5 linked regions of the Oryctolagus cuniculus genome follow. Each later gene encodes a partner of the first gene's protein in a complex. Links are inferred from orthologs where the notes say so. Each region holds a gene or a part of one and is shown in the gene's direction. Other genes may lie near its edges. The genes, in order: METTL3, VIRMA, RBM15B, ZC3H13 and CBLL1.

Region 1 (6,086 bases):
TTTTATAAAATTCAAATCTGGCTTTTTGTAGATACAATTTTCTTTGGCTTTGTCTTGCTTCCTATCTGTTGGTTTCCCCTGTTTCTTTTATGCATCTCAATTTTATATAGAAAACATAATCATTCCACCTTCATCATAAACAAGTGACTCCTAGTTTACCATAGACTTCAGTTACTGGAAGTATCTTGTCAGTTATTTCAAAAACAGGATTGGAAGTCTGATTACAGGCATATCATTTATATGTATGTTTTTGAAAAACCTTGTTTTCTGAAAAAGCATGCGTTAAAAATAGCAGCGGGGCAGGCCTTTGGCTCAGTGGTTAAGACACTGCTTGGGCTGCCTGTGCCCCTTACCGGAGTGCCTGATTCGGAATCCTGGCTGGAGTCCCAGCTTCACTCCCATTCCAGCTTCCTACTTATATACACCTTGGGAAGCAGCAGGTGCTAGCTCAGGTGGATGTGTCCCTGTCATCCATGTGGGAGACCCAGATTGAGTTTCTGGCTCCTGGCTTCTGCCTGGTCCAGCCTGGGCTGCTGTAAATATTTTACTCTAGTTATACCACAGGAGTATTCTGGTTCAAATTTATTACACTTGTGGGATTTCTGAATCGTAAGAGATTGTAATAGTCACAGTCTAGCTTGATGTGGGAATTTTGTTTATGGTCTTCCAAGTACGATAAATAGTAATTGTCCCTTATATTTCTTACATATTTTTAGCTGAGGGAGTTACTCTAAAACTCCTCATCCAGACCCCCTTAGTGATTCCATGACCTGTGCATACATCATCTTTTATTTTTTTAAATAAAAAAATTTTTTGAGAAGTAGAGACAGACAGCAAACAGCCACCTGCTGGGGTAATGGCTAGTGCAGGCCAGGCCTAAGACAGGAGCCCAGTCTAAGTCTCCCATATTTGTAGTAGGGAGTAGTATCTGAGCCATCATCTGCTGCCTCCCCGGGCACAGATTAGCAGGTAGCTTGAATTGGGAGCAGAGCCAGGACTTGAACTCAGGCACTCGGACATGGGTTGTGGATGTGCCAACTAGTGTCTTACTTCTCCAAATGCTTGCCCTACCACACCTCTTTGACTAAGCGAAACACACGACTGTTATCAGTTGAGCTGGTGAAAGAGTATCTCCTTAAGATTTAGCAGATCGGGGCTGGCACTGTGGTGGAGTGGGTAAAGCCGCCACCTGCAGTGCCGACATCCTGTATGGGCACTGGGAGTCCCAGCTGCTCCACTTCTGATCCAGCTCTCTGCTATGGCCTGGGAAAGCAGTAGAAGATGGCACCCGCATGGGAGATTCTGAAGCAGCTCCTGGCTCCTGACTTTGGCTCGGCGCAGCTCCGGCTGTTGTGGCCATTTAGGGAGTCAACCTCTCTCTCTCTTTCTCTCTCTCTCTATCTCTCTCTCTCTGTAACTCTACCTTTCAAATTAAAAATTAGTTTAAAGAAGAAAGATTTAGCAGATCATAAAGGAATCATAAGTAAATGAAGTAAAGAAAGCTTTGTCAATTACTTAACATTTCCAGCTAGTCTGGAATTGTGGAGTTTGTTTTCTCAATAGGGTACAGTGAGTATTTTTTGTATAAGTATTAAAATTTTATAGTAAAATGTTTGGTGTAGTTCAGCTCCATTTTCTTGGAAAACTGAGTCAGATTTTACAAATTCAGCCAGTAAACTGGAAATTACTAAGGAACCACAATATTTGTAAATGTAAAACAAATGGCCAACTTGTATGTTATATTTTTATTTAACAATTCCTGGCCAGGTACTAGGAGTTTAATTTATTATCTGTATAATAGCTAAATAAACACAGATACTAGGCTTGCTCAAAGGTAACCTTTTATTCTGAGTTTCTTAAATCTTATTAAAGTTGTGAAGGCTCCCAGCTTGTAAAGTGATAGAATAGATGAGAGACCTGTAGAAGGAAACATCCTCTGGTGACCAAAGCTTCAACAAGCTGTTACAAGATGTTTTGTGCTTAGGAGTATCAAAGGGCACGTATTTCTACCCCTGACACTGTCATTTTGTGTGCTGTCTGTTGGCCAGTGGCCTTGTGGCCTTGATAATTCAAACTCCATGCCTGAAAAAGATACTTATTACAGCTTAGGTTGTTGAAAAATACTTCTGGCTTTTATTAAAATGTAGGTTGGTAATGTCACTTCTAAGAGTGAGTGAAAGGAGGTGGTAGGGACATTGACATCTGCTATGTGGATTTATTTCCTCTGAAACACAGCAAAGACTAGGAATTGGGAAACAGCAGAGAGGGTATGTTGTTCCCAGAAAACCATGTTCCCTCCTGGTAAAGCAGTGAACACTGAGTACAACTAAAGAAAGACAGTCCAGTGTTCAAGTTGGTCATGGACTTTCCTTCATGACAAGAAAGGGGTGTGTGCTGGGAACGCCAGAGAATTTGGCTTCTGAGGAATATGTAGACCAACAGTGATTGCTCTTTTTCACTTTCGTTTCTCTTTACTCTTAGATCTAAGGAATCCAGAGGCAGCACTGTCCCCAACCTTCCGTAGTGACAGCCCTGTGCCTGCTGCACCCACCTCTGGTGGCTCCAAGTCTAGCACAACTTCAGCAATTCCTGAATTAGCTACAGATCCTGAATTAGAGAAGAAGCTGCTGCATCATCTCTCTGATCTGACCTTAACACTGCCCACTGATGCTGTATCCATCCGTCTTGCCATCTCCACGGTAATGACTGGGTAGACTAGGGGTCTACCACTAATTTTCAGTTCATGGTCAGTTTCTTACTGAGTTACCCTCCCCTCTTATCTCTAGCCAGATGCCCCTGCCACTCAAGATGGAGTGGAAAGCCTCCTGCAGAAGTTTGCAGCCCAGGAGTTGATTGAGGTAAAGCGAGGTCTCCTACAAGATGATGCACATCCCACTCTTGTGACCTATGCTGACCATTCCAAGCTGTCTGCCATGATGGGAGCCGTGGCAGAAAAGAAAGGCCCTGGGGAGGGAGCAGGGACTATTGCAGGGCAGAAGCGGCGTGCAGAACAGGACTCAACAACAGCAGCTGCCTTTGCTAGCTCTTTAGCCTCTGGACTGGCCTCTTCGGCATCGGAAGCAGCCAAGGAGCCAGCCAAGAAATCAAGGAAACATGCTGCCTCAGATGTTGATCTGGAGATAGAGAGCCTTCTGAACCAGCAGTCCACTAAGGAACAACAGAGCAAGAAGGTAGGGCTCACATGGAAATACCCTCACAGTATGCTTTGAATTATACCTGTGATTGAGAAGGATTTACTGTTAATGCAAGATTTTTAAAATTCAGGGTTTAGAGCAGGAGTTCCTAAGTGGAAATATTTTTGCACTACTACTGTACCCCACCAAGGACTCTGGCAATGTTTAGCGGCTTTTTTTGTTTGTTTGTTTTGTTGTTAAGATTGATTTATTTATGTGAAAGGCAGAGTCACAGATCTTCCATCTGCTGGCTCACTCCCCAAATGGCTGCAACAGCTGGAGCAGGAGTGGTCTGATGCTAGGAGCCTGGAGCTTCCTCCAGGTCTCCCACACAGGTACAGGGGCCCAAACACTTGGGCCATCCTTCACTGCCTTCCCAGGCACAGTAGCAGAGAACTGGATTGGAAGTGGAGCAGCTGAGATTTGAACCTCCCGGTTCCCATATGGGATGCTGGTATCTTAGGTGGTAGCTTAACCCGCTACACCACAATGCCATCTCTCAAGACTTTTTTTGTCCGAACATGAGGGAGTGCTACTTGTATTTAGTGGTTAGAATACAGGGATGCTGTTGATGTCCTAGTATATTGTATAATACAGCAACGCTCCCTGTCCTTGAGCTGTCTGGCCCAAAACTTAAGAGAATCTTTCCTTGAATTTGTTTGGAATAATCCTCAGATCAAGAGGATACAAATGCAGAAATACAGAAAGATCAATTGAGAGGAATACTGAAGACAAGTCATATGGATTGGTAGTCCTGGAAGTTGATGACTGAACAATGTGAATTAGCCTTGTAATGGTTCTGAGTGTAACTGTTGGACCACATGAATTCTCAGCCTTTTGCCACTTTTAATTCTGAGTTCAAACAGGTTAATAATGGGAGGATAACCAGAGTGCCCTCCTTACAGAATTAAGCTGAATAGTAGTGTTAGTAGTGTGCCTTTGTTCATTACACAGTAAGCATAAGTGGTTTTTGTGGGAAGGAATGCTTTCCTGGGGAGGGAAGATTAACTTACTGCTTAACAGTAAGTTAAATCATTTAGTATTTTAATTCCATCCCGAAAGGAGATTTTGATCTGGAAATAGAGAAATCTTTTATCTTAGGGCTGCAGTTTTCCCATATTGTTAGTTCATATGTCAAACAGAATTTATAGAGGTGGATTAAGAGATAACTTGATCTACAAACCCTTTTAAGCCCAAGGCTGCTTCTGTCACAGGTCAGTCAGGAGATCCTAGAGCTGTTAAATACTACAACAGCCAAGGAACAGTCCATTGTTGAAAAGTTTCGCTCACGAGGTCGGGCCCAAGTGCAAGAATTCTGTGACTATGGAACCAAGGAAGAGTGCATGAAAGCCAGTGATGCCGATCGACCCTGTCGCAAGCTGCACTTCAGGTCTCTTGGGAAGGAATGAAGTGGGATGGGTTTTCAAGAAGCAGTCGTTCCTTTGTCAGTGGGGCTCTTGTCTTTAACCCCATCATTCAACTCATGCTTTATCCAAGTCCTCCAGACTTTGAATGTGTACTTTTAGAGGTGGCTTTGTGTGTGAAGGCATACAGGCTGTACTCCCAAACAGGTGTGAGATTTTTCCAAGTGCCCCTTTGTAGCAACAAGGCATGTGTCTTTGAACCACAATGAAAGTTTAAGGTTCCCTGGAAGGAGGAGGATCTTAGGACACAGAGGCTGATTAGGTCAGTGTTTTATTCTACTCTAACCAATCAAGTCCTTCCTGCCCAGAATTCCTTTCTGTGGTGAGAAAAGATAGCCAAGTCTTTGCTTAGGGAGGAATTAGGATAATTTAGTGTTAATTATGGACACCATGCTTCCTGTCTCATAAAACTGCTGGAGGAAGTTCTAATGAGAGAAAAAATTAAGGAAGGGTAACAAAAGGGCTTTTTGAAACCATTTGGAACTTGAACTGTGGGACTTTCCTCCATGGCACCATCTTGATTCTGATTCTCCTTTTTTATTTCCCCAGACGAATTATCAATAAACACACTGATGAGTCTTTAGGTGACTGTTCTTTCCTGAACACGTGTTTCCACATGGATACCTGCAAATATGTTCACTATGAAATTGATGCTTGCATGGATTCTGAGGCTCCTGGCAGCAAAGACCATACACCAAGCCAGGAACTTGCTCTTACACAGAGTGTTGGAGGTGACTCTAGTGCAGATCGACTCTTCCCACCTCAGGTACCTGACTGTTCAGAAAACTCTTCTTACAGACTTATATAAGTCTGAGTAAGGCAGCCGTGCATGTAGGAAAACAGGCATAATTCAGCATTCTTTCTTGCTGATTGGGAATGGAGTGGGATAGGCTTAATAAGGGAATAGGAAAATGAAATGGAAAAGAGGGACTGGGGCCATGAATCTGAGAGTGAAGCAAGGGAAGATGACCAAATACCACCTCATGCAGTGGATCTGTTGTGATATCCGCTACCTGGACGTCAGTATCTTGGGCAAGTTTGCAGTTGTGATGGCTGACCCACCCTGGGATATTCACATGGAGCTGCCCTATGGGACCCTGACAGATGATGAGATGCGCAGGCTCAACATACCAGTACTGCAGGATGATGGCTTTCTCTTCCTCTGGGTCACAGGCAGGTAATGCGGTTCAAAGATACATAGGTATGGGCAGATATGCAAGAGCCTTCCAAAAGTTCATGGAAAAATGGAATTAAAAGATGCTTACTTTGGTGCAGAAAAAATGTGAAGGCCATGCATGCATGGTTCTTTCATAGTATACATTTCCATGAACTCTCTGAAGACCCTTTGTAATAAAGTAAGCACTGGGTGGGAGATAAAAGCCTGGGTTTTCCTAGCTCCTATTAAAGTATGACAGCTCAGCCTTTTTCCTCCCCTACTGAGCCCAGATACTTGTTTATAGCATGAACG
Region 2 (6,155 bases), on another chromosome or scaffold:
GGCTCCTGGCTTCAGATCGGCGCAGCTCCGGTCGCTGTGGCCATTTGGAAAGTGAGCCAGTGAGTGGAAAACCTCTCTCTGTCTCTCTATGTCTGTAACTCTGCCTCTCAGATAAATAAATCTTAAAAAAAAATTAAAAAAAGTTAGTGTTCATCATGTACAATAAAACTGATAGAATGATTTGTTTCACATTTAAGGTGCATTTATTTTAATTTTTTTTTAAGATTTATTTATTTATTGGAAAGGCAGAGTTACAGAGAAGGAAAGGCAGATGCAGATGGCTGCAATGGCCAGGGCTGGTCCAAACCAAAGCCAGGAGCCAGGGGTCCATCCAGGTCTCCCATATGGGTGCAAGGGCCAAGTGCTGGGCCATCTTCCACTGCTTTCCCAGGTGCATTAGCAGGGAACTAGATTCGAAGTGGAGCAATCAGGACTCGAACTGGCACCCATGTGGGATGTCAGCATCACAGATCACAGATGGCGGCGTTACCCACTAAGCTTCAGTGCCAGCCCCAAGAATATGAATTTCCATGATCAGATGTTACACTGGTAGTTAATTTAAGATGTCTTTTGTTTCATTTTTATGACTACAGGTAAAGGTTGACTTAATCGAGCTCTCTGAAAAATGCTGTAGTGACTTTGATTTGCACTCAGAATTAGAGCGCTCATTTTTGTCAGAACCGTCATCTCCAGGGAGAACCAAGACTACTAAAGGATTCAAACTTGGGAAGCACAAGCATGAGACCTTTATAACTTCAAGGTAAAAATTTATTCCACTGAAGGTCTTGATTATGATCACATAAAGCTTTATTTCATTGTATTTAAGATGGAATCATTTGCATAACATTTGAATCATTAATATTGTTTGTATTAGTTTTAAAGATAATAATTTGGCCAGGACTTAGCCAGTACATTAGTAATATTGTTCTTTGTGAGCACTTAAAAGGTATGAATAAGAAGTAAACTGGATTATTGTAAAACTTTTAGTGATATCAATAAAATATGAGTACCATTCTTAGCTAGTGTGTTGTATTATGCTGGGAAGTATGCTGGGAAGTAATATATATACTTGCAAAATTAATGGAATTAGAATAAGAAAAAATTGAAATCCAGATTCACTATTTATTGTATTTTCACTGGAAATATGAAGAAACGGAAATTTTCTAATGGAGTATTTTTGTTTTAATAGTGGAAAATCTGAATACATAGAACCTGCCAAACGAGCTCATGTTGTGCCACCACCAAGAGGAAGGGGCAGGGGAGGATTTGGACAGGGTATACGACCCCATGATATTTTTCGTCAGAGGAAACAGAACACAAGCAGACCACCATCTATGCACGTGGATGACTTTGTCGCAGCTGAAAGTAAAGAAGTGGTCCCTCAAGATGGAATACCCCCACCCAAACGGCCACTTAAAGTTTCCCAGAAGATTTCTTCTCGTGGTGGGTTTTCAGGCAATCGAGGAGGACGTGGTGCTTTTCACAGTCAGAATCGATTTTTCACACCACCTGCTTCAAAAGGTAACTGCATTTCTAATAGGCTAGCATATTAAAATATTGAGTGAAGTGACTGAGGAGATTGAGATAAAGTATTTGCACTATTTGCAGAGTACTCTGGTGGGTAGGAAAAAAAAAACCACACATACTTTTTGGGTTAACTTCTGATAAGGTATACTTTTACTGGGAATTTAAAAGATGTCACAGGTAATTATTTTCCTTTTAACATTGAGAATTTTATTATTTTTTATGTAAATACCATTTTCACATTTGTACTTCTCAACAATTTCCTTAAGATTATTTGTGTAGTTCATAATTGATTCCTTTATCACCTTGCTTCTTACTGTTATATTCAGTCTGTTTTAAGTTGTTTGAAGATTTTGAGACTATTTGATATAGTTAAAGAAACTATGCTTTTACTAGTGGATTGATGAGCTCGAAAGGTGACAGTGAAAGAGAATATGAATTTGGCATTAATAACAAACGCTTACATAGGTGTGTCGGGAAGTGTTACAAGTAATGCAGATATGGTACGCTCACATTAACCCCACAAGGTAGGTCGCATTAGTACTCCTTCTTTACTGAAGATAAACTGTGATTCAGCTGACCAGGACACAAAACTGGAAGTGACAGGACCGATATTTGAACCTGGCAGTCTGCTTTAGAGCCTCTGCTGTTAACCGCTGTGTGATTTTTGCTTCTTAGTAGTATATTCAGTTTACAAGATTTTCGTTTTTCTTCCGTTACTTTTTTAAGATTAAGAAAAACCTGCCAAATCTTCCTTAACACAAAATTCTGGCAATATTAGATTTTGATCTTGTTGTTTGTGTTTAGGAAACTACAGTCGTCGGGAGGGCACCAGAGGCTCCAGTTGGAGTGCTCAGAATACTCCTCGAGGGAATTACAATGAAAGTCGAGGAGGCCAGAGTAATTTTAACAGGGGCCCGCTTCCGCCATTGCGACCACTTAGTTCTACAGGTATGTGTCCTCTCTACTTGACACTGCTCAGAGAAGCGAAGGGAGTTCCTCCTTTTCTTTTCTTTTTTTTTTTTTTTTTTTTTTAAGAGTTATTTATTCATTTGAAAGTCAGAGTTACACAGAGAGAGGAGAGGCAGGGAGAGAGAGAGAGAGGTCTTCCATCCGCTGGTTCACTTCCCAGATGGCTGCAACGGCCAGAGTTGCGCCGATCCAAAGCCAGGAGCCAGGAGCTTCCTCCGGGTGTCCCACGCGGGTGCAGGAGCCCAAAGACTCGGGCCATCTTCTACTGCTTTCCCAGGCCATAACAGAAAGCTAGATCAGAAGTGGAGCAGCCAAGTCTCAAACCGGCGCCTATATGGGATGCCGGCGCTTCAGGCCAGGCCGTTAACCCACTGCCCCACAGCGCTGGCCCCTCCTCCTTTTCAAAATGTTGAGTGCTATAGGCTCTTCCAGGAGAGAATACTTTGGAACAGGGTTGGGGAACCTGTTTTCTGCCAAGGGCCATTTGGATATTTATAATATCATTTGTAGGCCATGCAGAATTACCAACTTAGAAATTAGCCTGCTGTAGATTTATTGAATTTTGAGCCCACCTGTGACGGCCTTAGCAGGGCCAGACCTCATGATTTCACAGGCCTTATCCAGACATTCTGCTCGCCTTCTTTAGAATATAGACTTAAAGTTATTATTATTATTATTTTTAATTTATTTGACAGAGTTAGTGAAAGAGAGACAGAGAGAAAGGTCTTCCTTCCTTTGGTTCACCCCCCAAATGGTTGCTATGGCCAGAGCTAGGCTGATCCGAAGCCAGGAGCCTGGTGCTTCCTCCTGGTCTCCCATGTGGATGCAGGGGCCCAAGCACTTGGGCCATCCTCCACTGCCTTCCCAGGCCACAGCAGAGAGCTGGACTGGAAGAGGAGCAACTGGGACTAGAACCCAGTGCCCATATGGGCAGGCAGAGAATTAACCAAGTGAGCCACGGCGCCAGCCCCCTAGACTTAAAATTCTAAGGTTAATTTTATATCTTTGAATGAATGTCCCATGTACATATTTAAGGATTGTTTATTTGAAAGAGTTACAGAGAGAGAGGGAGAGATGGATATCTTCTACCCGCTGGTTACTCCCTAAATGGCCACAATAGCTAGGGTTGAACCATGCAAAACCTGGAGCCAGGAGCTTTTTCTGGGTCTCCATGAGCAGTAAGGGCCCAGGCTCCTAAGCCATCTTACACTATTTTCCTAGGTTATTAGCAGGGAGCTGGATTGGAAGTGGAGCAGCCGAGACACAAACCAGTGTCCACATGGAAGGATGGTGTTGAGGGCAGCGGTGTTACCTGCTGTACCACAGCACCAGCTCCTGCACATGAGTATTAAAAGAACAAACATGGGCCAGCACTGTGGCATAATAGGCTAAGCTTTCACCTGTGGTGCTGGCATCCCATATGGGTGCCGATTCATGTCCCGGCTGCTCCTCTTCTGATCCAGCTCTCTGCTTATGGCCTGGGAAAGCAATGGAGGATGACCAAGTGCTTGGACTCCTCCATCTACATGATAGACCTGGAAGAGGCTCCTGGCTCCTGGCTTTAGATCACCCCAGTTCTGGCCATTGTGGCCATTTGAGGAGTGAACCAGCGGATGGAGGACCTTTCTCTCTGTGTCTCCTTCTCTCTCTTTCTATTTTACTTTGTGACTCTGCCACTCAAATAATTAAACTCTTTAAAAATAAATAAATAAAAGAACAAACAGTCATTCTTGGTTTGAACTCAGTGCCATACATTAGTAGGTATTTATAAAGTGAGAATGCAAAGGACATGGAACTAAAATCTGTATTGTTTCTTTTATAGGTTACCGCCCAAGTCCTCGGGACCGTGCTTCCAGAGGTCGTGGGGGACTCGGACCTTCCTGGGCTAGTGCAAATAGCGGCAGTGGAGGCTCCAGAGGAAAGTTTGTTAGTGGAGGCAGTGGTAGAGGTCGTCACGTACGGTCCTTTACACGATAAAAGTACTTTTGGGAGTTTCCGAAATACATATGAACATTTCACGAGGACGCTAAAAATAAGACATTGAAGGACCAACTTAGACTTAACAGTTATCTGGAAACATCTGAGAGAATATTTTTATCTGAAGAAAGCAGGTTTTGTTTGATACCTAACATGATTTCAATAAAAATCCAAACTTTGTATGTATGTTTGTATATATTTTTCCCCTTTTTATACAACTATTTATTTAGAAAATTTCTAGGTAGAAAGAGAATAACTAAATGACTTGTTTTGTATTTTTCTTGCCTATACAACAGATGTTCCCAAATTTACTCTGCTCTGGCACGCTTTAGTGACTCAGTAATTTTTTTCACAGCACATCTAGGCCAAAAGAAATACCTAATACTTCTGTTTGTCAAGTAGCTAGGTCCAAGCAACTTAAGAATTTACATCATCATCATAGTAAATGTGGACACTGCATAATGTCTCAGATCTTGGAATCAATATCATTAATTTCCTACTGCACTATGCTTCTTGCAAAGTACTTTTTATCAAACTGTGAAAAACTCAGTTTTACAAAGATAAACTTTGATGTAAAGCAATATAGTGCTATCTGATGTTGAAAATGTAAACTACCTCAAACTAGTAGTTTGTGTGGTGTCCAGTGGGTGTGGCTGTTTCCCTCAAAAATGTCAACTACTGTCTGGCAACCATGTTAATTTACTATGGTACCCTGGTACACAGTTTGGGAACCGTGGCTGTATGAAAGGAGATAAAACCCTCTTCCCCTTTATATTAGAAGGAAGTACAGACTTCGTTTTTTTAGCTTTGGACCTGCTGATGCTATTTTTTATTATACAGTTATTTCAAGCCCACAATAAGGCATATCCTGTTATTTTGGGAACCAGAAACATCTAATGAAGCTGGACTTTATATAGAAATGAAACTTATAATTTGAGAAAGTAGCCATATTTTCCCAAGGGTCTGTCTAATACATCGAGCTTATATAATTGGCATAAATACAGACTTCTCTTAAAAAAGAAGTGTATGAGTCTCATTCTCTCCTTTATCACTTTCTGTTTTGGGGAACTATTTGTGAGTATGTAAGAAGTTTCTGTTTATTTGGAAAATATCTTTAAAAAGGTTAGCTCCAAGTATTCTGATTTAAGTTAAAGGTAATGGAAATTAAAAAAAATTTTTTTATTTATTTGAAAGGAAGAGTGACAGAGAGTGCATCTGTCTGCTGGTTCCCTCCTTAAATGGCCACAATGGTCAGGACCATCTGTGTCTCATGTGGGTGGCAGGGACTGAAGTACTTGGGCCATCCTAGCTGCCTTTATGGGTGCATTAGCAGGGAGTGACTGAAAGTAAAGCAGCCAGCACTTGAAACAGTGCTGTTAGGGATGCTGGTGTTGCAGGTTGTGGCTTAACTCACTGCTACAGCACCAGCCCCAAGGTAATGAAAACTTTTTCAAAACTAATGACCTCAAAAATCCAAGAATCCTGGGCCGGTGCTGTAACACAGTGGGTTAAAGCCCCAGCCTGCAATGCCACATCCCATATGGGTACCTCTTCGAGTCCCGACTGCTTAACTTCTGGTCAGCTCTCTGCTATGGCCTGGGAAAGCAGTAGAAGATGGCCCAAGTCCTTGAACCCCTGCACCCATGTGGGAGCCCTGGAAGAAGCCCCTGGCTCCTGGCTTC
Region 3 (6,694 bases), on another chromosome or scaffold:
GGAGGACCCAGCATCGAGGTGGGTGGTGGTCAGAATAAGCCACACTGAGGAGGGGACATTTCGGCAAACTGAAGAAGGGGGTGACTTGCCAAGAGGCGGCTCCCAGAGCACATCCCAGGCAGAAGGGCTAGGTGGTGTGAAGGCAGCCAGGTGGCCGGGCACAGAGCCCCTTGCAGGTCGGCGAGGACGTCAGCTTTCACTGTGAGTGATGGCGGGAATGTCACAGGAGGGCTCTGACCTGACCTGGCTCTCCCAGGCTTGTCCTGGCTGCAGGCTCTGAAAAGAGCGGGCGATTCGAGGAGGCGCAGGAGCCCCACAGCATCTGTCTGCTGACTCACTCTTTACTGCACAGAGCCCCTGTGCTCCCAGCGTCAGGCCCCCTCTGCACGATGAGGCAGCAGCAGTGGCTGTGACTTTTTTGTTTGTTGTTTAAGAACTTGACTCTCCAGGGGCCTGTGTTTACCCATTGGCATCAGATGCCTGGTCTCAGAGAGAGCCTAGCATGGGGTGAGCTGGCTGCAGGTCACTCTGGCCCCAGGTGGTTATGGAGAATGAGTCCTGTCGTTCGGTCAGCGGCCTGCAGTTGCTGTTTTAGGGTGACACCTCAGGGCTGGGAGCCATGTCCCTTCAACACTGCCTTGTCTGGAAGCGTCTCTTCTCGCTGCAGCCGGCAGAGCTGATTGTTCTGAGGTGGTTCAGCCATGCAGGGGTTGACGCATCTTGGGACCACTGGGGGCTGTGGCTGCTCCCACCCAGCCATCACTCTCACTCCTCTCTCCAGACAAGCAGATCGACCTGAGCACAGTGGACCTCAAGAAGCTCCGAGTGAAAGAGCTGAAGAAGATCCTGGACGACTGGGGGGAGACGTGCAAAGGCTGCGCAGAAAAGTCCGACTACATCCGCAAGATCAATGAACTCATGCCTAAATACGCCCCCAAGGCGGCCAGCGCACGGACGGACTTGTAGTCGGCCTGACCCCTCCGCAGCGGAGAGGGGAGAAGCAGCTCAGCTGTCTCCCCAAAATCGCCTTTTTGTAATTTATTTTTTAAGTGGGCTCCTGACAACATCAGGTGCGAAGCCTGGAGCTTTCCGTGACGCCAGCTCTGCTAGTGCCCCTGGGGGGATTTACTCCCTTCTGTTGCTGGTTTACTCTAGGACTTCAACATGTGTCTGGGATTTTTTTATTAAAGGAGAAAACAGTTCCAGCTGTCTTTGGACAATTAACATGAATACTGAAACAGGGTTTTGCCGCATGAGAAGGATCTTAATGCATTATGCTTTGTATTTTGCCATTTGTCCCTCAACTCACCTATGCCAGAAGTAGCAGGGCAGGACATGGGTTAGAACCAGCTGTGGTATAAGGCTTCAAACCAGAGTCTGGGGAGAAGGTTGGGCTTGGTACCCTGCGCCCTGATGCACTGTCCCCAAACAGGAGGCTTCCCGGCTGCTGGGCATGGAGCGCTGAGTTGAGGGTGCGTGGGAGGGTCTTCCATGGGACTGGCCACGGCAGAAGGAAGCTCTGTGGAATGTGGTTTTCCACAGTGGTGCCCTCACTGCGTTCAGTACTGAAAGCTCTAAAAGATGTTCTTGGCCGTGGTGTGCGGCCTGGTGTCAGTCCCACGCCTCTGATCGAGATTCCTGCCAGCTTCCCCAGGAGGCGGTCAGAGGGCTGCCTCTCCTGTTTAGAGGAATCCAGTTGAGGGCCCGCGGGCTTGTCTGACAGCCCTCTGGTGTCGCTTGGGAAAGCCAGTTGTCCGTGAGCTCTGGCTGCTCCGCTGTCCTGCAGAGACCAGCTGAAAGGAAGCAGTCACGGTGCTGCCCGAGTAGCTGAGCTCAGCTCCTCGTTGGTGTGCCCGTAAGGGATCTTCCAGCCTGCCGGGGAGCCCGCTGCTCCCTCTTAGCAAGATCTTTGCTTTTGGACCTGCCAGGCTGCAGCAGGAGAAGCGGGCTGGATGCGCTGCCCATCCCGTGCTCCCTGTGCCCGAAGTGGGGTCAGGTCCGGCAGTGGCTCCGGCAGCCGACCTTGGAGGACGAAAGCGGCCGATGGGCCCTGGCACACGGGCGCCCTTGCCCTCGCAACGCCTGGGGAGAAAAGGTCCTATCCTTGGGGGTGCACAGGGGAGCACGGCAAGCTGTGGCAACTGCTGGCACCGTCCCGGCCTTCCCAGCCTGCTGTGTGCCGGGATGCCCGCACCAGTGTGGCAGTTCTGCGTTGCGGGTCTAACTGCTCCTGAGCCTGCACCCCGCCAGGTCTCACCTGCGTGCGTGTGCCTGGTGCGTGATCCTCGTGGTCTTCCCAGGGACTGCTACAGGTGAACCTGAACACGGAGGACACTCGGGAGCTGGGCGTGGGACGTGTACAGGGCCCAAGGATTGGCATGGCTGTCAACGCTGGACCCCAGCCAGGGGACTGCAGAGGGGGATGGGGATCGCTGCAGCCGAGGACCGGGTGAAAACAACACTGGGGCCAAGGCCCCAGACGCCGGCACTGATGCTGCGTAGACGAAAGCTACCATTCCTGTGCCAAGCAGCGCGGACCCTGGCGCCGGCAGAAGACTGCCGGGCCCTGGCCACGAAGCTCCTCTGGGCTCACGGGGTCGAGGACCAGCCCCGCGCGCTGCAGTCTGAGGCGGCGCGAGCCGACCCGGCTCTGGAGAGCGCTCCCATCGCTCCCCGCGACGCCCCGAAAGCCTCAGCCGGCGTGGCCGCGTGGTGGCGCCCGGGCGCACCTCCGCCGGCCCCGGAGTCACGTGGCACGGGGCGGCGCATCCGGATGACGCACCCCGGCGCAGCGCTCGCCCCGCCCGCCTCAGTCACGTGGGCCGGCCGGCGCCACTTGATAACGCGGCGCCCGGGCCCTCGGCGCCGCTGCCGCCCCGCCCCGCCGCCACAGCCGCGCCGATTCCTTTTGTCCAAGATGGCGGCGCCGGGGGCGCTGCCTCCTGGGCCGCCGCCGCCGCCGCCGTCACTGTGAGGAGCCTGCGGCCCGCCCGCCCGCCCGCCCGCCGCGCCGGCGCCATGAAGCGGCAGAGCGACCGAGACTCCAGCCCTAGCGGACGCGGCTCCTCGTCGTCGGCAAAGCGGCCGCGGGAGCGCGAACGGGAAGCGGAGGCGGGCGGGCGGCGGGCGGCGCACAAGGCCTCCGGCGGCGCCAAGCACCCGGTGCCGGCGCGGACCCGCGACAAGCCCCGCGGGAGTGGCAGCGGGGGCGGGCATCGCGACGGCCGCGGCGCGGGGGACGCGAACCACCGCGCGAGCGGCGGCCGCTCCTCGGTCTCCGGCGCCGGCGGCGGGGGACGCGGCGGCAAGGCCTCGGGGGACCCGGGCGCCTCCGGCGCGTCGCCCCGCGCGTCTCCGCTGCCGCCGCCGCCTCCGCCCCCGCCGCCGCCGCCGCCGCCCGGGGCTGAGCCCGCAGGCCCCGGCTCGTTGGCGAGCGCGCCGGAGTACAAGACGCTGCTCATCAGCAGCCTGAGCCCCGCGCTGCCCGCCGAGCACCTCGAGGACCGCCTCTTCCACCAGTTCAAGCGCTTCGGGGAGATCAGCCTGCGCCTGTCGCACACGCCGGAGCTCGGGCGCGTGGCCTACGTGAACTTCCGGCACCCGCAGGACGCGCGCGAGGCCCGCCAGCACGCCCTGGCCCGGCAGCTGCTGCTCTACGACCGCCCGCTCAAGGTAGAGCCCGTGTACCTTCGCGGCGGCGGGAGCAGCCGGCGGAGCAGCAGCAGCAGCGCCGCCGCCTCCACGCCGCCGCCAGGGCCCCCCGCGCCCGCCGACCCGCTCGGCTACCTGCCGCTGCACGGAGGCTACCAGTACAAGCAGCGCTCGCTGTCCCCGGTGGCCGCCCCGCCCCTGCGGGAGCCCCGCGCGCGCCACGCCGCCGCCGCCTTCGCGCTGGATGCTGCGGCCGCCGCCGCCGCCGTGGGGCTGTCCCGGGAGCGGGCGCTGGACTACTACGGGCTGTACGACGACCGCGGGCGCCCCTACGGCTACCCGGCCGTGTGCGAGGAGGACCTGATGCCGGAGGACGACCAGCGGGCCACTCGCAACCTCTTCATCGGGAACCTGGACCACAGCGTGTCCGAGGTGGAGCTGCGCCGCGCCTTCGAGAAGTACGGCATCATCGAGGAGGTGGTCATCAAGCGGCCCGCCCGCGGCCAAGGCGGCGCCTACGCCTTCCTCAAGTTCCAGAACCTGGACATGGCCCACAGGGCCAAGGTGGCCATGTCCGGGCGGGTGATCGGCCGCAACCCCATCAAGATAGGCTATGGCAAGGCCAACCCCACCACTCGCCTCTGGGTGGGCGGCCTGGGACCCAACACGTCGCTGGCGGCTCTGGCCCGGGAGTTTGACCGCTTCGGGAGCATTCGGACCATCGATCACGTCAAAGGAGACAGCTTTGCGTACATCCAGTACGAGAGCCTGGACGCGGCGCAGGCCGCCTGCGCTAAGATGAGGGGCTTTCCCCTGGGCGGGCCGGACCGCAGGCTCCGCGTGGACTTCGCCAAAGCAGAGGAGACTCGGTACCCCCAGCAGTACCAGCCCTCGCCGCTGCCTGTGCACTACGAGCTGCTCACGGACGGGTACACCCGGCACCGAAACCTGGACGCCGACCTGCGCGTGCGGGATAGGACCCCTCCGCACCTCCTCTACTCCGACCGAGACCGGGCCTTTCTGGAAGGGGACTGGACCAGCCCCGGGAAAGGCCCTGACCGCAGGAACAGCTTGGAGGGCTACAGCCGCTCTGTGCGCAGCCGGAGTGGTGAGCGCTGGGGGGCCGATGGGGACCGCGGCCTGGCCAAGCCCTGGGAAGAAAGGCGGAAGCGGAGGAGCCTTTCCAGTGACCGTGGCCGGACAGCCCACTCCCCTTACGAGGAGCGGAGCAGGACCAAGGGTGGCGGGCAGCCCTCTGAGCGGGGCTCCGACCGGACCCCTGAGCGCAGCCGCAAGGAGAATCACTCGAGCGACGGGAGCAGGGAGGCGAGCGGCAACTCCCTGAGCAACAGCAGGCACGGGGCGGAGGAGCGGGGCCACCACCACCACCACCACCACGAGGCGCCGGACCCCTCCCACGGCAAGAAGACGAGAGACGGCGAGCGCAATCATCGGACCTCGGAGGCGGAGCCCAAGCCCCCGGAAGAGCCGAAACAGGAGCCCAAAAAGCTGAAGAGTCTGTCGGAGTATGCGCAGACGCTGCAGCTGGGTTGGAATGGGCTGCTGGTGCTGAAGAACAGCTGCTTCCCGACGTCCATGCACGTGCTCGAGGGGGACCAGGGCGTCATCAGCGGCCTCCTCAAAGACCACACTTCGGGGAGCAAGCTGACCCAGCTGAAGATCGCCCAGCGCCTTCGACTGGACCAGCCCAAGCTCGACGAGGTCACACGGCGCATCAAACAGGGGAGCCCCAACGGCTATGCGGTGCTCCTAGCCACCCAGGCCGCCCCCACTGGGCCTGGCACCGAGGGGGTGCCCACCGTGGAGCCAGGCCTGCAGAGGCGGCTTCTCAGGAACCTGGTCTCCTACTTGAAACAGAAGCAGGCTGCGGGGGTCATCAGCCTGCCGGTGGGCGGGTCCAAAGGCAGAGACAGCACGGGCATGCTCTACGCCTTCCCGCCCTGCGCCTTCTCCCAGCAGTACCTCCAGTCAGCACTAAGGACACTGGGCAAGCTCGAAGAAGAACACATGGTGATAGTTATAGTCAGAGACACTGCTTAGCCCAAACCTGGCTTTTCCAGGAAGCTCCCTGTTTGTGTCACAAAAGCGGTTATTTTAAAATCCCCTCCCTGCCCTGCCCTCTGGGTTTGAATTCCCTGCTGGGTTATTTTATTTGGCCGGGATCCAAGTCCTGTCCACCACTAAAACGAAGTTCTTAGGTTTCTGAGGATTTTTTGGTTTTTGTTTTTTTTACAGTGATGAGAAGGGACGGTTATGTTCATTTCTGATGTATGAGATGCTGTCTGCTGTGTTCTGTATTTTTTTTATTTTTTTGACTGTGGAAAGTTGTCAGTAAAGCCTTTGTCAGAGGATGCATTTTTAACCCTGTTGAGAGTCCTGGTTTAATCAAGTTTTCTCTTAAAGAGTGGAAGACTTGCCCAGTGCATGCACACAAATGCCCTGTGCCATCTTGCGAGCACCACCGCACCCAGAAGTCCTGCTGCAGCAGTGGCTCCCCGCCCTCAGCTCAGCGCGCGGGGCTGAGTCAGGACTGGGCTCTGGACCCAGCTGCACTGGCGTGAGTAGAGCCCATGCACATGCAGGCGGCAAGCTTAAGTCCTGGCCAACAGCCACTGGCAGTTTTGGGCTTTTTGTTTTCCTGCCTGTCCTAAATGCTGTGCGTGTCCATCAGTTTCAACTGGGGCTGCTGGACAGCGTGCCCAATGCTAATGCCAGTTTGCCAGTGGGAGTCTTCAGATGTGGGGGGGTCTCGTAGCTGGGGGAGGGGCAGTGTAACCATGCCAAGTGGTCCTGGTGCCACTGACCTGTCCAGCCACCCTCTGATTCAGCCCAGGGATAGCCAGCCATTGGGGGAGGGGGGAGGAGGTGGACTTCCTTGGTTAATTCCTGGACTTCACGGACGGTTCTTAGTTTTGGCTCTTCCTTTGGTTGTCAGGGCTGATGTGTTAACAGAGTGGGCCTGTGCTGTTCACCTAGAGCTTGTGGGGGGACACCGGTGCCCTGGCCTGAAGCTGCGGGAGAG
Region 4 (6,155 bases), on another chromosome or scaffold:
AAGTATCTCAAAAGGGAGCTTAGCAATAGTATGTCAACTATACAGGTGACCATTGAATTCTGAATCCTGTGGTCTGGGGTCTGTGGGATCAACCTAAGCCATGCATCACTCCTTTAATCTAAGTGAATGAATCTTAGCTGCTATGCCACAGCACTGGCTCCTGACCTTTTCGTTCTTACATGTTAACTGTATATACCTTGATGAAACAAAGACATAAGCCTCAGCTATTCTTGCTCATTGCCCAAAAGATAAACATTGAAATGTATTCCTTGCCCTTGAGTCTCAGGCGGGTCTCACACCCCATGTTCTTTCCCAGGTTCCCAAGCTCTGCATGGCCACCTGAAAGGCCAAGTTGCTCTGCCACCTGAAAGACCAGTTCCAGGAGTTCTCCTGCTGCTGCCTGCTACCTTCACCCCCATTCCTAACCCCCTAAAATATAAGAAGGCCCAGCCCCTGGGTCGGGCCTTCTGACACGTGTTCCGTCAGTGTGTACACTGGCAGTTGGTCACCCACCTCTATGAATTTATTTTCTCTGAATAAATTTGGTTTGGCTGTAGATTCGTATACTGCCTCCTCTCTATTCTGCACCTCTTATCCTAACCTTTGCAGTGCCCTTGGTGTGAAGAAGCATCAATTGCGCCTCTTTTCCTAACATATCTCTTGTCATCTTTTGAAATCTTAAATTTCTTCTTCTTGATCTTTATTACAATATTCTTTAGAGATATTTACATTATTAAAGTGTCCCGTTACAGTACTTAGAATTATGCTATAATTATTTTAGGGCTCAAAGCCCATTACACATAAGTTCTTGGTGGGGTGTTTTTTGGTTTTATTTTTACCCTTGGAGATGTACCTTCCTATTCTTACTGTAGGTGGGTAGGTTTCTCATGTATTCTTTTTGAGTTTGGAGTGAATTCATCTTCATAAGGATTTATCTATAGTAACTTTAAGGGGTTGAGGACAGAGTTCACCAGAGTTCTTGCCTTTATTTTTGCTGGCTTTCCTAGGTTATGACAGCCCCTGTTTTGCTTCTTTCCCCTTACCCTTACCTCCCATACTCCAGAAATTTAAGAGAACAGTTTTTTTTCCAAGTAATTAAGGATTCATAGGAGATTGGAATGAAATGTACAAGGAAGCTCAGTGTACTGTTCTCTGCTTTCCCAGTGATAACATCTTACACATCTAGAGTATGCCATCAAAACCAAGAAATTAACACTGCTGTACTCTATAGATCTCATTCAGGTTTTACAGTTATATATATTTTTTGTGTGTGCATGTGTATTTAGCTCTAGGCAGTTTTATCACATATGTAGCCTGGTATTAGCCCTACAATCAGATATTTAATTGTAACATCATAAGATTTGCTGGTGTTACTACATCCATCCCCTCTTCTATCACAGACCCCTGGCAATCTCTAATATGTCCTGCATCTTAAGATTATGTTATTTCAGGACTGTTTCCTAAGTGGAATCATACAGCAAGTATACTGCTGAGATGGGCTTTTTCATTCAGCATAATTTTCTTGAAGTTCATCCAAGTTGTTGCATGTATCAGTAGAGTCTTCCTTGTTACTGCTGCATAGGACTCCGTTATATAAATGTATCATGATTTGTTTATTCATTCACCCATTGAAAGATAATTGAATACTTTGCAGTTTTTGGCTAGCAGAAATAAAGCTACCATGAACATTCATTTCTCACATCTTTTTTTTTCTTTCTTTAAGATTTATTTATTTATTTGAAAGAGTTACAGAGATACCTTCCAACTGCTCATTCACTCCCCACATGGCCAGAGTGGACAGGGCTGGACCAGGTCATTGCCAGGAACTTCATCCAGGTCTCCCACATGAGTGACAGGCCCAAACACCTGTGCCATCCTCCTCTGCCCCACAAGCCATCAACAGAGAACTGGATTGCAAGTGAAGCGGCCAGGACACAAACTGGCACCCACATGGGACGCTGGCGTTGCAGGCAGTGACTTTACCCACTATGCCACCACACTGGCCCCAATTTCCCACATCTTTTAATAAAAATGTTTAGATACATTTAATGTTGCCAAATTACTTTCGTCATTCTATATTCGAGTGCTTTCAGTATAAACTGTGATTGAGTCAATACTACATATCCATATTTCTCATTATTTTCATGTGGTTTCTGTGGATGAGATATGAAGAAGCATTTTTAAATTTTTGTTTTGTTGTTCTGGGGGTATTTTAAATGAGTCTTCTTGCTTTCCGATTCCATTATTACTTTTTTTATAGATGGAGAAAACTGGAACTTAGCTTCCTCAAGTCAGTCATAGCAGAGCTGTGTGTTCTCAGCGGTGCTTAATATTCTTTTCAACAGTGATTACCGCACTTGGAATACCAAAGCAAATTAGTGTTTTCTAGGAGGAAAGATTGTGACTGATGAAACTTGTTGAATAAAGTGTTCTGTGTTAAACAACTGTATGAATATCCTTTGTTTAGGAAGCCGAGGCACAAGAGGTTCTCAAATTGATAGTCACAGTAGTAATAGCAACTATCATGACAACTGGGAAACTCGAAGTAGCTATCCTGAAAGAGACAGATACCCTGAAAGAGACAACAGAGATCAAGCAAGGGATTCTTCTTTTGAGAGAAGACATGGAGAGAGAGACCGGCGTGACAACCGAGAAAGAGGTTTGTCAAACAAAATTTTATTAAATAGTACCAACATTAAATTGAGGATTGCTTTTTAAAAGTTACCAATTTGCTTTTTAATATAAAGTATATTTTAAGACTAAGCTTGATGACAATGTTTGATTGAAACTCTTATACTCTTTGTTCATTAGTTTAGGAAGGTTTATGTAAGTAGCTAGCTACCTGTAACTACCAGCAGCAGAGTACAAGAACTGTGCTGTCCTGCTGTGTGTCTGCCATCCTAACTGGGTAGCTCACAACCCTTTCAAGATGCCATCCCAGGCAATTCAGGAAATAATGGAAGCCTTCTCATGAGTATTATCCTGGCTACTCTCTTTTTAGCCATGAACAATAGAGTATTTTATGGGCTACCAGAGAAGAGCAAGGCTAGGGATTGTTCGAGAAACATTTTACTCATATTCTGGCCTGAGAATATATAATTTTGTATTCTTGTATGTGTTAAGCTAAAAGTTTTCTGTTTATCTATTAGATAATCTTATAAAAGTAACTTTTGAAGTAAGATTGCTAGGAAACACTTTATTCTAAGAATTTTCTTTGAAAAGTTTGTATTGTCTGTATTTAAACATTTAAAATCAGTCTTATCAAAGTCTTTCTAACCTTGGCTGATTTCTGAAGTAAGATTCACTATAATACTGAACTTTGAATAGTATGAAACTTGATGGAGCAGGAAATTGAATGTTGATGCTTTTAGTGTGGGCTGAATCAAAAAGATAAAACTATATCTTGATGTGGGTAGTAATAGGAGTAAAACCAAGTTTCTAAGACACCATATATACTTGAGAGAATAGAGAAGATCAGAGATAGGACAGTCGGTTGGGTTAAGTTCATTAAGGTAAGCCAACTGCATTTGGGTTTAAAAAGGTGAGGACTTCCCCAGTTATAAGTAGGGGTAAAGTTTATTCAGTGTTAATATCTGAAATTATTTCTTCCAGCATTTGATTTATCTCTCTTTAATACTGCATCCTGGTAATGCTTTATTTATGTGTATATATATGTGTGTGTGTGTGTTTGTGTGTGTGTGTGTTGTATGTATATTACTTTTCTTCCTTTTTTTCTATTTTCTTATCCTAGAACAGGTTTCTCTGAATTCATGCCTCAATTCGGTAGTAACATTTGGTTTTATTCCTCTATTTAATTCAACCTAGGTGCCGAGAAGTTCAGTAGTTGTTTTACATATATTCTGTGACTTAACTTTTACAATATCCCAATAAGTATAGGTATTATAAAGTAATCCATGTTTCACAGCTTAGACAATTAGATTTAATTGAAGTTAGTTCCAGAACTGGATTCAAACTCAGGTCTTCTGACAACGGATCTAGTTCTCTTTAACTACTTCAGTAAATATCAGTTGAATGATCAAAATATAGCAATATATTTTTGAGGCTAGTGATATATTCTACCCATGCTAGGCACTTTGCTAGGTACTTGGAGTACAACAGTTCTTGTCCATGGGTTTCTATAAAGAAACTGATGGAAAAGGAAACACCTCCTACTTCCCCCCATAAAAAGAGAAATGATTATTGTTATCAAGAAAACAAAGGACCTAGATAGAATAAAGAATAAGAGAGGCATCTACTTGAGCGTTTGAATGGAAAATTTGAAGAGATATTTACACAGAGGTGTAAATGCAAGAGAAGAAGGTAGCTTTACAGAGATTGAGAGTAAAAGCATTCTGTGCAGAGGAAAGGTTATGTACAAATTATTTGAGATAGAAAGAAGCCTAGTAAGTCTAGGATTTGAGAGAAGATTGATGTGGCTAGGGGATGGTAAACAGTAGGGAGAATGATAGAGGTTGAGAGTAGAGATGTGTCTGGGCACCTTATTCTATGCTTGAGGGTTTAAATCTTTCTTTTAGTTTTCCATAGTCTAATAGTGGTGCAGATAGAGCTGAAGTATGATAAATGCTGCTATAAAAGTACTGTGAGGAGACAAAGGAGCAAACACAATTCTGAGGAACTCCCAGAGAGCTGCCTAAAGAGGTGACATCTGAATGAGGGCCTGGAAATACATAAGTTTGTGAATAGGAACAATGAAGAAGCACTTTTCAAGGAGAGTGTGCGCATGTGCAAACACACAGGGCTGAAAGAAAGCCAAACAGTGAAGGAGTGATGAATTATGTTATGACATTGGAATAGTATGATGTAATTAGCAAGGAAGGAAAGAAGAGGGGCAGGACTGATGAGAGACCAAAGGCCAGATTGTAAATGACCTAGGAAATCAGACTGGAAATTTTGATTTTAATATCCCTTCAGAGCCTACAGGATAACTGCCTTTAAGCAGCTGGAAGAAATGGAGTTTTTATCAAAAACACTAAAAATCAAGTGGAAGACTGAAAACAAACATACCCAGCAATTTAACCGTTGATGACATAGGCATCTAAAAGCTGATCAAGATCTAAGTTAATATTTTAACTGAAGAGATGAGGACAAGAAAATAAATAAATAAATATTTTGGGAGTGAAATTGATGATACTTAGTAGATAACTCAGAGATTGCCAGCTTTCATGAATAGATATGTCATTCAATAAGATAAAGAAATAACTGAAGAAAGCACATCTTTGAAGAATATATTTTGAGGCAAGGAAAGGGGAGATAGTTTAGATATTAAAGTGGTGTTGTTATTTCCTTTTTCCTTTGAAGTAAGGAGCATTGTCTTTTTAGGAAAATAGAGCTAAAAGAGTCAGGAGAGTAGACTATTCCCTGATATTATTATAATAATCAGAAATTTGAAGAATGTATTCCTGTTAGTTGCAGTGTTGAATGTGTTTCACGTTATTTTGTAACCATTGAGATTCTAGTATGACTCCCAAACTGGAAGTGCAGTTAATCTAAAACATGGGTAAATAGCATTCTGGAAATCCACTATGGTGCCATAGAACCATTTTAAATTTAAGGTAGTTTCAGCTAAAATAAAAAGATTTGAGAAAATTGATCTCTAATCTTGTTGCACTAATGGGTCTACCATCTCTGACTTTAGTAAGTCAACCTCTAGACCAGAATTTCTATGTCTTCAAGAAGGAAGAGTAGGAGAAAGGACTGGAAACGGTTCTGTCTTACTTTAGCTTTAAAATTCGATGAACTTTTCTATCTGTATCTTTTGAATAAATGCTTAAAATTTTCAACAGTGGTAAGGAAGGGAACTTCAAGTTACTATATTGATCCCTTCCCTAGAAACATCCTAAAAGTATTCTACTTAATAAGTTGATGTTGGCTGTTATACTTAACAGCCTGTTGGCCATATTGTTATCTGACTTTTATTGATTAACCGATATGCATTATTAGATAGTATGAAAATTAAAACATCACAGTAGCCTAGATTGTAACCTCAGTAGTTACTTTCAAAGCTGTCTCTCTGGAAAATCCCATGCCATTCTCTTACACCTTTTAAGATCCCAGACTAATTTCCTGCTCAACTGGCTATTTGAGCAGCATGCATTCATTTTCTCTGTGTTTATGTGATTTGTGTGTAGATTGGG
Region 5 (6,155 bases), on another chromosome or scaffold:
TATTTGTTTATACTTCTCCACACCAGTTTTGGGTACTATTAACCTTTAAACATTTTGATTTTGATTTACAATTCTCTAATCATGGTTGAGGTTGAGTATCTTTTCATAATATTGGTCTTTTGCTTAGGATCTTTCTGTTCATATCCTTTCCCCATTTTTCTGTTTGGCTGTTTCTCTTGATTTTTGAGTTCTTTTTAAATTAATGAAATTGACCCTTTTTAATATATTGTGTATATTCCCCATTTGCCTTTTGAATTTTGTCTATAAATTTTTTATTGTAGAGAGGTTAAACATTCTATGCAGTCAGATATCCAGTGTTTGTTGTTATGACTTCCTGGATTTATGACAGTTTTAGAAAGGCCTTCCCCTATTCTGTGCATATAAACTGGTTTTCCTCTCATCTGTCAGTACAAACTATGACCTGTGGGGCAAATCTGGTCCTGTTTTTATAAAGTTTTATTGCAAAACAGCCATGCCCATTCATTTCAGTATTGTCTGTGGCTGCTCTCATACAGTAGTGGTAGAGCTGAGTGTTTGTGGTTATGGACCATGTGGCTCACAGAGCTGAGAGGATTTATTGCCTGGCTTTTTACAGAAGAATTTGCTGACCTCTGCTTTGGATCTTTTAAGAATACGTATGTGGTTATTTAAAAAAGCCAAAAGTGGGATCTGGCTTTCTGTTTTTTCCTCCAAAACAGCTTGTCATTGTCCCAATCATTGAATAATCTTTTCCTTGCTGCATAGAAAACCCACCATTATTGTATATTAAAGTTCTAAAAGTATTAAAGTCTGTTTTCTGGTCTTTCAAAGTATTTTCATGAACTTATAGTGATGTACAAGTACATTCTTGTAATGCAGGAAAAGCTAAAAATTCTCCCTGCTACCTCTTTTCTCTAAGTTGTTTTCCTCCTCTTCTCAGGGTCATGGCTTTTTTTTAGAGGGAACTACTCTTACTCCTTTCTCTCTTAATAGAGCAACTTGAGGCTGAAGACAATCATTGAATACTTTAGACTTAACCTGTTTGGAGTAAAAGAAAATTATTTTTTTCCCTAGGGATTGATCAAAATATGGAGTTTTGGGTGTTAGTACATCTCTATGGATATTTAGTTTAATGAGAAGAATACAGGTTGAACTACTCTGAAAAATTATAATGTGCTCTTCATTTATTTGGCTGTTGATCTCCATAATTTTCTGCATTTGAAGAATTGACAATTTTTCTTACTTTGAATTGTGGATGACACCACCTTTGATAAGGAATGGGCCATATAAGACTGTAGGTACACTCAGGTGTAATTTATAAGATCAACTTTACTTTGAACTGTACATCTATATTGGAAGTAGTTAAATAGCAGTATATTGGAATATCTCTTATCAACTTCAAAAAATTCTTGCATCACTATTGTCTGTGTGTGTGTGTCTATCTACCTGCACAGGTACTGTAAGTTAGCCATGTGGGTAAAGTTGAAGCTGTGTGCTTTGGCTACTCTGTTTACCAGTTCTAGGGCCAAAAGAGTCGTGACAAGCCTGGCACCTTGGAGAGATATATTTGTCTTCTCAGCTTTACTTTAGGTAATTGGATTCTACCTAGAATTCTCATCAGACTGTTCACCGGTTTTCTGTTCTTTTGTGTAAAATGAGAAAATTGCCACCAACTTTTTAATGAGACCAGAGAAATTGAGCCAACTTGATCTTCAACTGGTCTTAAGTTTATTAATGTTGATATATGCAGTGTAGGACAGGATACTTGTAAATATCATATGGCTCCTGCTGATTGGGGATTAACCAGGAAGAAGTTTTAAAATGAAAGGGTGAAGAATGAATTTGTTGATGTTCCAAAATCATGCTCAGATTAGAGGTGAAGGGAAAGTATAATTTACTAAGTAATAAGAAAATCCGCAGAATTCTTTGTTTTCATTATTTTTACAATAAAATCAGTCTCTTGCAGCATACCATATTTGTAGATAGATTAGAATAAGTGATGGTCAATGTCATTAAAATTTTGTGCAACAAATGATGATAATGGTAATCTTGAGGTTTTAGACTAAAGATAGTCTGTTGAATTGATAGAAGCACTTGAATAGGTGTCAAGAGATCTGAGATCTGTTCCTGGTCCTGCTGCTGACCTTAATATGTTACATTATTGTGGATCTCCATACTGTAATAGTCTCAATTATGAAGTATTAGAGTTGGTCAGGTAATCACCAGTTTTACTTCTAGTTGATATTTTAAACTAGTCTTCATTATTTTGTTCTTAGAGGAGCTTTGAAAGTCATCAGGTGGGCTTTCCAGTGAATAGGCCTACTTTGTCCTGTGTGTATACTTCTCAAATGAAATTTGAGGTTTGAAGTTAATGAGTAACATTTTGTTTTCTCAGAAGGATTTGATTATAATGAAGAGGAACGGTATGACTGTAAAGGGGGTGAACTGTTTGGAAATCAGCGAAGGTTTCCTGGACACCTTTTTTGGGACTTTCAGGTACGATTAAAAACGAAAACTTTCATTAGACCAATAAAATTGGTATTAAGTACTTAAAATGTGGTATTAGAACAGTGTAGAATATATAAGGGGTATCTTTTACAAGCTTTTGTTAATGTTATGACTTTTAACACAAACATCATTTGTTTATAATGAGTGCCCTACTTTGACTATTCCCAAAAATAATTTGAAATCATTTTCAGTGAGGTCAAATGTGATTGATAACTCTTAACTATTTAAAAATGTAAACTAACGGTGGCACAGCTAATGCTGGTGAATATGTGGGGATTATACCAAGAAACCTTTATTTCTAGTTGTTTTTAACAACTTTTATAAAGTACCAACCATTTACTATTGATAGAGTGTTTAGCATTGTGTTATAGATGCAGTTTTTAGGATTAAGGGAATTTAATTATGTCATTTCAACAGATAAACATCTTAGGTGAAAAGGATGATACACCAGTTCACTTCTGTGACAAGTGTGGATTACCTATTAAAATCTATGGACGAATGGTAAGCATAATTAAATTAAATACTGTTTGTAAATGCGTGCATTTGTGTCCAGGTAGAATTCTGAAATGTATTAAGTAGATACAGTTAATCATTATCTAATGACTGAGTTTGTGACATTTTAATTTAAATAAATATGAACTAGCTAAGAGAAGTACTTGGTATGCGTGACACCAGTTTATATTTATTATACTTTTTTAAGGAAAGATTTTTTTTAAGATTTTATTTATTAATTTGAAAGAGAGGGAGAGACAGAAAAATCCTCATCTGCTGGTTCACTCCCCCAGTGACCAAAACAGCTGGAGCTGGAACAATCTGAAGCCAGGAGCCAGGAGCATCTTCTGGTTCTCCCACGTGGGTGCAGGGGCCCAAGCACTTCGGCCTTCTGCTGCTGCTTTCCCAGGCCATAGCAGAGAGCTGGATTGGAAGAGGAGCAGCCAGGACACAAACTGGTGCCCGTATGGGATGCTGGCACTGCAGGTGGAGGCTTAGCCTGTTGTGTCACAGCTCTGGCCTCCAATTTTTTTTTTTTAATTTTATTTATTTATTTGAGAGGTAGGGTTACAGACAGTGAGAGGGAGACAGAAAGGTCTTCCTTCCGTTGGTTCCCGCAATGGCTGGAGCTGTGCCAATCTGAAGCCAGGAGCCAGGTGCTTCTTCTGGGTTCCCCATGCGGGTGCAGGGGTCCAAGCACTTGGGCCATCCTCCACTGCCTTTCCAGGCCACAGCAGAGAGCTGGACTGGAAGAGGAGCAGCCAGAACTCCAACTGGCGCCCGTGTGGGATGTTGGCGCTGCACGTGGAGGATTAACCTACCGTGCTACGGCACTGGCCCCTGGCCTCTGATTTTTTTTAACAGACTAGAATAACATTAGTTATTCATTTCTGAAGTTCACTATTTTTTATATAAAATACATAAATAATATTTTTAATTTCTAAAAATTGAATTCTGATTATTAAAAAATATTTTTACACCCCTAACTGTAATTTTATAGTAACTTTATCATGTCCTCGCTCTAAAAAGATAGCTTTGCATTTGTGTTTGAAAAAAAGATTGGATTCTGTTGTACTCATATCTGTGATGATAGAGGGCACGGATTATGCACTATTGCTTTGCTCTGTATCATAGCAAAGTAACAATAATGGGCTGTTGGCTTTACAGTGTGGTTCTTGCATCATTTTACTGTGATCTGATTGTTAGATTTTTTTGAGTTCACTAATCTAAGCCAGGAAGAAATGCTAGTTAAATATAGGAGATACTAGTTATTTTTACCTCTTTAGAATAGTTTCAGGAGAAATAGGGTAAGGTTAAACATGATTATAATGTTGTTGTCAGGAGCTTTTAACGTATAGGATAGGGATCAATGGTGAAACTTACAGGGTAAGTTGCTCCCAAAGACAAGTGTACATTGTATTCATTTATTAGGAAGGAGGCCAAAGATTAATTTTTACTTTTGAATAAGTAGCACTTAATAAATGTTCTTTTTAAAAGCTCAGTGCCTTCTAGCTGTAGGTGATTATGCTTATTGATCTTTTGTGTGGAAATAAAATCTAAGTTGTTCTAGTATGCTTAATTATAATGTCTTTGTTTGCAGATTCCATGCAAGCATGTTTTTTGTTATGACTGTGCTATTTTACATGAAAAAAAGGGAGATAAGATGTGTCCAGGGTAAGAAGATAATTTTTATTATTTCTTTATAAAAACGTTTCTTTCTCCTTTCTGTCTTTCTGAGACAGAGCTCCCATCTACTAGTTCCCTTTCAGAATGCCTCCAGTGACTGAGGCTGAGGCCAAAGCTGATAGCTTGGAATTCAGTCCAGGTCTCCTGTGTAGATGACAGGGGCAGCTACTTCACCTGCTGCCTTCCAGGGTGTACACTAGCAGGAAGCTGTATCTGGGGGCAGAGTCAGGACTCAAACCCAGGCACTCCAGTACAGAATGTAGGCATTGCAAGCAGTTGTCTTAACTGGCATCTTACTTGCTAGACCAAACACCTACTCCCATCTTTTTTTTTTTTTTTTTTTAAAGAGAGCTTTTATTTAATAAATATAAATTAAATAGGTATAGATTTTGGAATATAGTGGTTCCTCCCCCTGTAGCTGCCTTCCCACCCCTAAACCGTTCCACCTCCTACTCCCTCTCCCATCCCATTCTTCATTAAGATTTATTTATTTACTTTAAAGATTTTATTTATTCATTTGAGAGGTAGAGTTACAGACAGTGAGAGGGAGAGACAGAGAAAGGTCTTCCTTCCGTTGGTTCACTCCCCAAATGGCCACAACGGCCGGAGCTGTGCCGATCCGAAGCCAGGAGCTTCTTTCGGGTCTCCTACGCGGGTGCAGGGTCCCAAGCATTTGGGTCATCTTCCACTGCTTTCCCAGGCTATAGCAGAGAGCTCGATTGGAAGAGGAGCAGCCAGGACTAGAACTGGTGCCCATAAGGGATGCTGGCGCCGCAGGTGGAGGACTAACGTACTGTGCCACAATGCTGGCCCCCATTAAGATTTATTTTTAATTATCTTTATATCCAGAAGACCAACTCTAAGTAAAAATTTCAACAGTTTGCACCCACACAGACACACAAAAGTATAAAGTACTGTTTGAAGACAAGTTTTACCATTCATTCTCATAGTACAGCTCATTAAGGACAGAGTTCCTACATGGGGAGCAAGTGCACAGTGACTCCTGTTGTTGATTTAACAATTGACACTCTTATTTATGATGTCAGCAATCACCTGAGGCTCTTGTCATGAACTGCCAAGGCTATGGAAGCCTTTTGAGTCCACAAACTCTGTCAGTATTTAGACAGGGCCATAAGCAAAATGGAAGTTCTCTCCTCCTTTCAGAGAAAAGTACTCCTTCTTTGATGGCCCCTTCTTTCCACTGGGATCTCACAGAGATCCTTCGTGTAGATCATTTTTTGCCACGGTGTCTTGGCTTTCTATGCCTGAAATGTTCTCATGGAGCTTTTCAGCCAGATCTGAATGCCTTAAGGGCTGATTCTGAGGAGAGAGTTATTTAGGGCATTTGTCATTCTATGAGTCCACTGTGTGACCTGATTCCAATATTGGATCATTCTCTTCTTTTTAATTCTATCTATTATTATTAGCAGACATTTGGTCTTATTTATGTGACCCCTTTGACAATCCTATCTATATGATTAGTTACAGAA

What was found.
Region 2: METTL3 (region 1) and VIRMA share a complex: the UniProt entries of both Homo sapiens proteins name them as parts of the WMM complex. The link is inferred for Oryctolagus cuniculus from reciprocal best matches to the Homo sapiens genes METTL3 and VIRMA.
Region 3: METTL3 (region 1) and RBM15B share a complex: the UniProt entries of both Homo sapiens proteins name them as parts of the WMM complex. The link is inferred for Oryctolagus cuniculus from reciprocal best matches to the Homo sapiens genes METTL3 and RBM15B.
Region 4: METTL3 (region 1) and ZC3H13 share a complex: the UniProt entries of both Homo sapiens proteins name them as parts of the WMM complex. The link is inferred for Oryctolagus cuniculus from reciprocal best matches to the Homo sapiens genes METTL3 and ZC3H13.
Region 5: METTL3 (region 1) and CBLL1 share a complex: the UniProt entries of both Homo sapiens proteins name them as parts of the WMM complex. The link is inferred for Oryctolagus cuniculus from reciprocal best matches to the Homo sapiens genes METTL3 and CBLL1.

The regions. Positions count from the first base shown.
Region 1 is NC_091443.1:53,434,478-53,440,563, forward strand, and holds part of METTL3 (N6-adenosine-methyltransferase catalytic subunit), read left to right. Parts: intron 1-2,481; coding exon 2,482-2,699; intron 2,700-2,786; coding exon 2,787-3,191; intron 3,192-4,408; coding exon 4,409-4,584; intron 4,585-5,167; coding exon 5,168-5,384; intron 5,385-5,607; coding exon 5,608-5,795; intron 5,796-6,086. UniProt on the Homo sapiens protein: The METTL3-METTL14 heterodimer forms a N6-methyltransferase complex that methylates adenosine residues at the N(6) position of some RNAs and regulates various processes such as the circadian clock, differentiation of embryonic and hematopoietic stem cells, cortical neurogenesis, response to DNA damage, differentiation of T-cells and primary miRNA processing.
Region 2 is NC_091437.1:119,890,140-119,896,294, reverse strand, and holds the end of VIRMA (protein virilizer homolog), read left to right. Parts: intron 1-593; coding exon 594-760; intron 761-1,189; coding exon 1,190-1,521; intron 1,522-2,331; coding exon 2,332-2,475; intron 2,476-4,318; coding exon 4,319-4,473; 3' UTR 4,474-4,659; downstream 4,660-6,155. UniProt on the Homo sapiens protein: Associated component of the WMM complex, a complex that mediates N6-methyladenosine (m6A) methylation of RNAs, a modification that plays a role in the efficiency of mRNA splicing and RNA processing.
Region 3 is NC_091441.1:98,158,255-98,164,948, reverse strand, and holds the start of RBM15B (putative RNA-binding protein 15B), read left to right. Parts: upstream 1-2,883; 5' UTR 2,884-3,018; coding exon 3,019-5,712; 3' UTR 5,713-6,229; intron 6,230-6,694. UniProt on the Homo sapiens protein: RNA-binding protein that acts as a key regulator of N6-methyladenosine (m6A) methylation of RNAs, thereby regulating different processes, such as alternative splicing of mRNAs and X chromosome inactivation mediated by Xist RNA.
Region 4 is NC_091440.1:65,047,425-65,053,579, reverse strand, and holds part of ZC3H13 (zinc finger CCCH domain-containing protein 13), read left to right. Parts: intron 1-2,467; coding exon 2,468-2,659; intron 2,660-6,155. UniProt on the Homo sapiens protein: Associated component of the WMM complex, a complex that mediates N6-methyladenosine (m6A) methylation of RNAs, a modification that plays a role in the efficiency of mRNA splicing and RNA processing.
Region 5 is NC_091434.1:136,457,356-136,463,510, reverse strand, and holds part of CBLL1 (E3 ubiquitin-protein ligase Hakai), read left to right. Parts: intron 1-2,374; coding exon 2,375-2,475; intron 2,476-2,904; coding exon 2,905-2,988; intron 2,989-4,579; coding exon 4,580-4,653; intron 4,654-6,155. UniProt on the Homo sapiens protein: E3 ubiquitin-protein ligase that mediates ubiquitination of several tyrosine-phosphorylated Src substrates, including CDH1, CTTN and DOK1. Targets CDH1 for endocytosis and degradation.